Linked DNA regions of Mus musculus. The protein of the gene in region 2 purifies or fractionates together with the protein of the main gene of each other region. This does not show direct contact. Links are inferred from orthologs where the notes say so. Each region holds a gene or a part of one and is shown on either strand. Other genes may lie near its edges.

Region 1 (3,500 bases), on a different chromosome or scaffold from region 2:
GCCATCTGAGTCAAAGGTGACAGAGGCTACTTCTCTCAGCCTGAGAGAAGAATGGTGCGAGTGCTTTGGTGAACACTTGGTATATGGGATTTGAAGGTGAACTCATTATTACAAGGCTTCTAGTTGTAATTCCAAGTTTTATGACTGAAGAAACGAGCTTTCATGTTCATACACACAATGCAAACAGAAGAGTGGCCTCCCTGACAGCTCGGGGTGCCATCTGCAGTGCCTCAGCTTTGGCTGAGCTCGGAAGTGCTGGTTTCTAAGTCACAATGCAGGGGATGTAAGAAACCCAAAACTTGACTATTTAAAATATCTGACACAAATACTATATAGTTATAATGAAACAGTATTATCTAGTGGAAGAAACAGGCGCAATAACATGAAAAAACACATTTTATTGCACTTAAGTTATAAGAAAATAAAATTTCTAAGTGAATCAAACCATAGACACAATCCCTTTACAGGTTGTTTCCTCCATCACGTCAGGTTGTTACATAACTAAAATTAACCAACTTGAATCTGATTGTTTTAAATCAGACTATAAATAAAACAAACAAAAAATAAACAGGAGGAGGAAAAAAAAGACGGCCTAGGATACAGTGTTAACCACTTTCACAGTTCAGCTTGAGTTACGGCTCCTGGTGAATGAGGCGGACCATCTGACTCCCGCTCTCTTGCTCGTCGAGCTGGTAGGCGAGTGACAGACAGCGTCACTGCAGAGCGAATTCCTCTCACGTCAGTCACTCAGAGCAATGAAACTGTAACAGTTGTTTTCCCCAATACTGTAAGATGCTACGACTGACCAGCAACCTCCTTTTCCTTTGTGTTTTATATATCTTTAAAATATCTTGTCAGTTTTGCTATGTATGTTCTTCCATTCACCACAGCCCTCAAAAAGAAGTTTCTCCACAGAACAGGCACCTCAGGCTCTGTCCCAAGGAATGTGTTTTAATTTTTGCCCAGATAAAAGAAAATAAGCTTTGCACACACTCTCAATTCTTTATTTGCAGGCAAACTTCACTCTTTATTATCTGAAACTTTTCCATTCTCAGCCTCTTAGAGGCACAGATGGCTCAAGTTTCAGTGGCAAAAAAGTCTTTTTTTTCTGTAACCAAACTAGAGCAAATTTGGAATTCAGTCTGGGACTAAAACGTCACAGCAGAAAAAAAATAAAAAAAAAATAATTTGCTTTTTCTTTCTTTCATTTAGCAGCATAAATAAGTTTGGCCACTGGGAGTACAGTACAGGGGTGGGACAACGACCCCGGATTTGAAGACCTACTTCTAGCACCAGCATCAAGAATTATATCCATCTCAGGACTCACACAACCCAGGACAACTTGCCACCTTTGAGCAACATATGCATTGAAGAGTAGAAGCAACAGTAAAGAGATAGATTAACAGAGGCTAATACTGTGATTGATTGACATTGGCAATGGTTGGCAAAAAAAAAAAAGAAAAAAGAAAAGAAGAGAAACAGGAAAAAGAGAAAAAAGAAAGCTTCATGATAACTGTACAAAAACAATTCACAGTAATTGTTTTAAGCTTTTCCACTTCAGAAAAATGACGGTTTGTTGCAGATGCTCTGATTAGAAGATAAGCAGCCCGTGTTTGGATATTACTGCCACTCCTTTCTAGGTGACGGTAACAACGCTGATGTAGCTCTGCTCAATGACCACTGGAGAAGAAAACAAAGAATAATTGCACCTGGTTGGATTTAGAGAGTCGTCTTGCCAAGCTGCCCCTCAGTCACAAGTGAGGCCTTTGCGAGATGCGACAGCTGCCGCCTCCTGTCAGTTACGGTCTCTTGTCTCTTCTTGCCTTCTTAGTCTGTAGGTCTTTTCAGTCTGTTGTCCCAAGCCAACATCCTGCACCACTGAGTACAAGGGATTTTTTTCCTTTTCTTTTTTCTCTTTTTTTTTTTCTGTTTTTTTTTTTCATTTTTTTGTTTGTTTGTTTTTGTTTTTTGCGCAGGGGGAAGGGTAGGGAGTATATTGTCTACACAGTTGGACAAAATTCATCATGTCTGCTTTTCATTTCATGTCCACATCAAAGTCCAGCACCAGGAGCTTGGTTTCCTCAGTTCCATTCCGACTCCCGACTGCACACACCAGCTTTGTGTTTGAGGCCCTGATCCGCCACACAACTCCCCCGCTCCCCCCACTCTCCAATGTGACGAGGTTTCGGATAAATTCACCCGTTTTCAAGTCCCAGAGTTTGACCGTTCCGTCGTCTGAGCTGGTAATTACGAAGTTCTTGTTGAACTGTAAGCAGGTCACAGCGCTCTGATGCTTGCTGGGACCTAGGCAAAGGCAAATGCGGGTTACTGCTTAGGAAGGACGTTCAGGGCTTCTGCGTGGGACTTGTGCTCTTCTACATTATGGCATACAAGAAATGCAGTATTTAAAAAGCTGCACAGTTAGCAACCTTGCTGTAGTTTAGGACCAGCTTAGATGTAAGGAAATCTGGTGGCTATGTAACTACAGTACCAAGTCTCAAGAGCTCCGGCTCCCAGTGGCCCTGGTCAGCCAGTGTACACATTCCACTGCTGGAAAAGGGAACGTGCAGGTTTGTCACTCTGTCACTCTGCCACACTGAACTGATCAGTCAAAGAAGGAAATAGAATTTGTGACTACCCCAAACTCCTAGGAACAGTCACAATTAATGAACAAAGGCTGCTATGTGCTGCCTCCTGATGGCTTCACTCCAAACAAACAAACAAACAAACAACAACAACACCTTCTAAGGGCTGTGACTAAGAGAAGGAAGTTACTCATGGAGAAGCCAATGGTGCTATACCTAATGCTAATGCTTCTCACTCTACCTTCCCCTCAGAGAGCACCATTACTCCTTCCATTCCGACTGAAGGAATTGACCAAGCAAGGCCAAAGTCATTTCCTATCAGAGATGCTTCAATTCAAAATAAAATGATCACTCAAAAAGAACGCTGCCCTATGAGACAGCCATGTTAAACAGAGTCAACAGAACACACAGGAAATGATTAAGAATTTTCACATTAAAGACACAATTGAAAACCATTTCTCAAGGTGGCTTACTTTTGAAAGCCAAACATTCACAAACTCATCAGGAGTAAGTACTCTGCATAAGGTTAAACCTCTGTTCTCCACAGGTTCTCTCTTGAATAGCAATGATGTTTTTAAAGATAGGCTAACAGAGGGCCAGGACTTACCTTGCAAAGTTTGTAAACACTGTCCTGTTTTGATATCCCAGATCTTAACTGTAGAATCTGCATTCCCAGAGACAAGAATATTGTCTTTGAGTTCCATTCCACTCGTTAATGACTGGTGTCCTGTTAGCGTGTGAATACAATTCCCTGTCTCCACATCCCAGACTCGGATTGATGTATCAAGAGATCCACTCACCACATGGATGCCATCAAACTACAACAGACACAGAGTATTAGAACAGAAACACGGATTCCTGTCCTATCAGCTGTTGACATTACTCACAATAGGGAGAGGGTACAAGCAACACGTA
Region 2 (4,263 bases):
CTGCGGAGGAGGGGGCGGCGCCTGCTGCTTCGACATCCACACGTGGCCCGCGGTCGCAGGGGTGGGTGCGGTGCTGCTGATGCCGTAACTGCCAGTGTAGGTGACCTGGCCGTGGGTGGCCGGAACCCCTGGGTGGCCGTTGGGTGGCAAGTATTGGTCAAACTCATTGACGTCGAAGGTCTCAATGTTGGAGATGACGTCGCTGCTCAGTTCACCGATGTCCACGTCGCGGAAGTCGATGGGGGGCTGTCTGCCCCCCTCTGCCAGAGGGCGCCCCTCTCGCTTCAGATCAACTTTGCCAGCTTGCACGTCGGTTTTGGGAGTGGTGGGTGGGGTCGGCGGACCCTGAGATTGCCCTGCAGGCCATAAAAGAGAAAGACAAACGGTAAAAAATCAACAAGCGCTTTGCAAAGCCCCTACTCTTAGGAGCCCCCTGGGGACTCTCCCTGGTTGCCAAGGTGTCATTAGGACCCGCTCCCGCGCTGGAGGCGCGCTGCACCAGCGATAAGTCGCCGAATGATTAACCCGCAGGTACACACTAGGCAAGCTCCTTTTATCAGGGGAGGGGTCTGAGGTCCCAAGGGTCCGGAAGACTAAATTGCTACCTGTAGAAGAATGTGTGCTTTTGGGGTGAGGCGCAAAGAGAAAAGTGGGTAAGTTTCGTAAAGCAATTAAGACATGTTACCTTGCAATAAAGAATCCAGCTCAGGATTCAAGGTTTGAGATGTGTGTGTGTGTGTGTGTGTGTGTGTGTGTGTGTGTGTGTATGTGTGTGTGTGTGTGCCTGTGTTCACCCGCGCCCGCGCGCCAACTTGGCTGTTTTTGAGCGCCCTGAACTGGGAGGGGGATGCAGAGAATAGTGTTTCCTTACTTCAGGGAATGCAAAGTCAGATACTTCTGGGGAGGGGGGCACCTTAAGAGTGTGCCAGGAGGACCCCCTAGGGGACCACTCGCGCCTTGCTCACCAGAGTGCTCGCCCGGGGAGTGCACCTCACTCATGCCGGAGGAGGAATGTGGGGAGTCGGCTTGCAGCGCCTTGAAGATAGCATTAGGAGAGATGTGAGTCTGTTCCGTGGCCTCTTCGGCCTCCGCTTGTCCGTTCTTCACCGACTTCCTCCGCCGGGGCTGGTACTTGTAATCGGGGTGGTCTTTCTTGTGCTGCACGCGCAGCCGCTCCGCCTCCTCCACGAAGGGTCTCTTCTCGCTCTCGTTCAGCAGCCTGGGGGGGGGGGGCAGAAGAAAAGAGGGAGGGGGTCAATGAAACCCCGGGAGCTGTCAGGTCCCCACCCCTCCTTCGCGCACTACCCCCTCCCTCCAGTCTGCTTTCCATCCCTCTCTGAGACTCAGAACTTTTTTTTTCCTTTCTTTTTCTTTTTAAAAAAGTGCTCAGAGTCGACCTGAGCGGTCACTCTTCGCCCCGCCCCCTCCCCTGGCCTCCTATTTTGGAAACCCTGAAGATGGAAATAGCTCCCTGCTGAGGCTGCTCTAAACGCCTTTGCTACCGGAGCGGTCCACCCCTCCCAACACGCAGTAAAAACTTTCCGAAAACCCATTTAAATTGCAAGAAGCTCGCTCTGTTGATCCATGCCCCTGCCGGTTCTCAGTAGCTTTGCCCAATTCTTGCCTGGGTCTCCTCTAGTCTCAGTTACACTTTCCCTTCACTCCATCTCCCCAGGAATGAGCGCAGTTGGCCTAAGGAAGGTGGGCTTGCTTCCTCTAATTGTTCCTTTCCAGAGGGACCAGGCTGGCACACCCCCTCACTCCTTTCTACCTTCCTAAAAGCAGTCATATTCACGCCCCCATTCCCCCCCCCCCCGCCATAACCAAGAGCAATCCCAAGAACTTTCTCAAAATCTGAGCCACTCCCTCCCCCCGCCCCCGGCCGCCCTGCATCCTGGACCAAAGACCCCAGGATGCACAACTCCGCGGCTCAGGGAGGCGGGGCGGGGTCGGTGAGTGCAGCCCGCGTCCCCCCTAGCCACCGAGCCCTCCCTGGCGGCCCGCGCGCTCACCTCCAGAGCTTGCCCAGAGTCTTGCTGAGCTCCGCGTTGTGCAGATGCGGGTACTGGTCTGCCAGCTTCCTGCGCGCAGCCTGCGCCCACACCATGAAGGCGTTCATGGGTCGCTTGACGTGTGGCTTGTTCTTGCTGGAGCCGTTGACGCGCACGGGCATGGGCACCAGCGTCCAGTCGTAGCCCTTCAGCACCTGGCTGACCGCCTCGCGGATGCACACGGGGAACTTATCTTCCTCGCTCTCCTTCTTCAGATCCGGCTCGCCCTTGGGGAAGGTGTTCTCCTGGGGCCGGGTGTTCTCCGTGTCCGAGCCGGAGCCCGAGGGACAGGGCGAACCAGCCGAGTCCTCCGACATGGTGGGGCTGGGGGCGCCAGACAGGCCCTTCTCCTGCTCGTCGGTCATCTTCATGAAGGGGTCCAGGAGATTCATACGCGAGCCCGGGGCAGGGGGCGGGTGGCCGGGAAAGGCGAGAAGCCGCGGCGGCTGGGGCTCCTCTTCCCTCAGCTGCCCGGACGCGGACGCCGAGCGAACGGCTCCCGGGGAGGTTGGCGCGTCACCGGGCTGCGGCGGCGGGCACTTAGCAGAGGCGCTGGGTGGCGGGTCTCAGCTGCCGGCTCTAAACCCGGGGAAGGCGAGTCGGAGCGGAGGAGGAGGGAGGGAAAACAGAGAACGAAACCGGGGCCACTTGCACCTCGTCTCTCTTGCAAAGAAAAGTTCCTGGACTGAAACTGGTAAAGTTGTCGCTCCCACAGAAGTTTCCAGGCAGTTCCGAGCAGCGCTCTCGGCTCTCCGACTTCCAGCTCAGGGTCTCTAATAAATACTCCTCCTTCACGTTAGATACCTCGGGCCAATCACGGCTAGCTCTTGAGTCATCAGTGTTGGCAAGTCGCTGATTGGACCGGATTTTGGAAGGGGGGCTGGGGAGGATTGTGGCTCCGGGTTGGGTGACGAGACAGGAGGGGAGGAGAAGGGAGGGGAGCTCAGCCAGAGGGTGGATGGTGGGGTGAGGGGACTTGGAGGGGGGCGCGGGGCAAGCGGGGGACCCGGGACGTCCGAGTGTGTAAGTTTGCTCTCTACTCTCGGAATGTCACAGTTTTGGAACGGTCTCCGTGTGAACCGATGTGTGTGTGTGTGTGTGTGTGTGTGTGTGTGTGTGTATGTGTGTGTGTGTGTGTGTGTGTGCGCGTGCACGCGAGCGTGTCTAGACTAGGACCCTCCACAACCCCCCACCCCCACTTTTCGATGCTGTCTCCGTGGTACCCGGGACTTCGCTGGCGTTTACAGCAATGGAAATTGCAACAGCTGCTCGTCAAAGCGGAGCTGGGCTTCTGCGCCTGGAGTCTGCCGGCTTCCAAAAAAAGTGCTTAGAAATGGTCTTTTGGAAGCAAATGTTTGGGTGACTCAACGCCCGCTGTTCTCTGTAATAATCCATATAAATAGATTAACGCGCTCTGGTTCAACGAAGCTGGTGTGGTGACTGGAGCTTCTGCTGCGCTCCCGCAGTGGGGAATCAATGAAAACCAAAGCCGAGCACCAGGCAAAGGCTGGCGGCAGGGACCGCGCAGTCCCCGGCTCTTGCGGCCGGTCCCGTGGGCCACGCCGACCTTGAACTGACAAGTCCTTTCCCGGCCCCTCCAGTACTCTGACGCCCCTCGTAGTCAGGATTATTACTTTAGAGTTCTGCTTCTTGCCTCCTGACTGAGTCACAAACACCGTCAGGCTCGCCACTGGAGTTTGCAAAACTACTCCGGGGTTGAGGGCGAAGTTTGCAAAGGTGGCAGGGCCGGGCGGTGAGGCCGAGAAGGCCCTTGACTTGGACTGGAGACTCCAGACAAAACGGGCCACTTTGGCGGAGCCCTGTGGCTCCCTTGCTTGGGCCTTCCTTTTACCAGATACCTAAGAGGGCGAAGCTCTAGGCGTCTGGACTTTAGTTGCGTCCTCTTAGACCTGCACACAGGTGGGCGTTCTGGGGGAGGCCACTTAGGTGTCCGTTGCACTTTAAGAGTGCTTGGAGCCGAAGCTGCGTGTTTACTCAAACTCTTAGAGCAAGGTTGGCTAAGGGAGGAATTATCTTTTCTGGAACGAATAAAAATCTTAGTTGCCACCGGGCGACATGCCCTCGGAACCACAAACAAACTCACAACGGTGTAAAAAAAAAAAAAAGATAAACAATTTCATTTAAACATCCCCTTTCTGATTCTTGCAAAGCTTCGCTTTGAACTTACTAAATTATTGATAAAGCGAATCGG

The links.
Region 1: the proteins of Sox9 (region 2) and Fbxw7 purify together in Homo sapiens (affinity purification with western blotting; 4 studies listed by BioGRID and IntAct, with this or other methods). This does not show direct contact. The link is inferred for Mus musculus from reciprocal best matches to the Homo sapiens genes SOX9 and FBXW7.

Annotation. Positions count from the first base shown.
Region 1 is NC_000069.6:84,976,077-84,979,576, reverse strand, and holds the end of Fbxw7 (F-box/WD repeat-containing protein 7), read right to left. Parts: intron 3,404-3,500; coding exon 3,193-3,403; intron 2,305-3,192; coding exon 2,036-2,304; 3' UTR 379-2,035; downstream 1-378. UniProt on the Homo sapiens protein: Substrate recognition component of a SCF (SKP1-CUL1-F-box protein) E3 ubiquitin-protein ligase complex which mediates the ubiquitination and subsequent proteasomal degradation of target proteins.
Region 2 is NC_000077.6:112,780,765-112,785,027, reverse strand, and holds the start of Sox9 (transcription factor SOX-9), read right to left. Parts: upstream 2,819-4,263; 5' UTR 2,444-2,818; coding exon 2,013-2,443; intron 1,220-2,012; coding exon 966-1,219; intron 357-965; coding exon 1-356. UniProt on the Homo sapiens protein: Transcription factor that plays a key role in chondrocytes differentiation and skeletal development.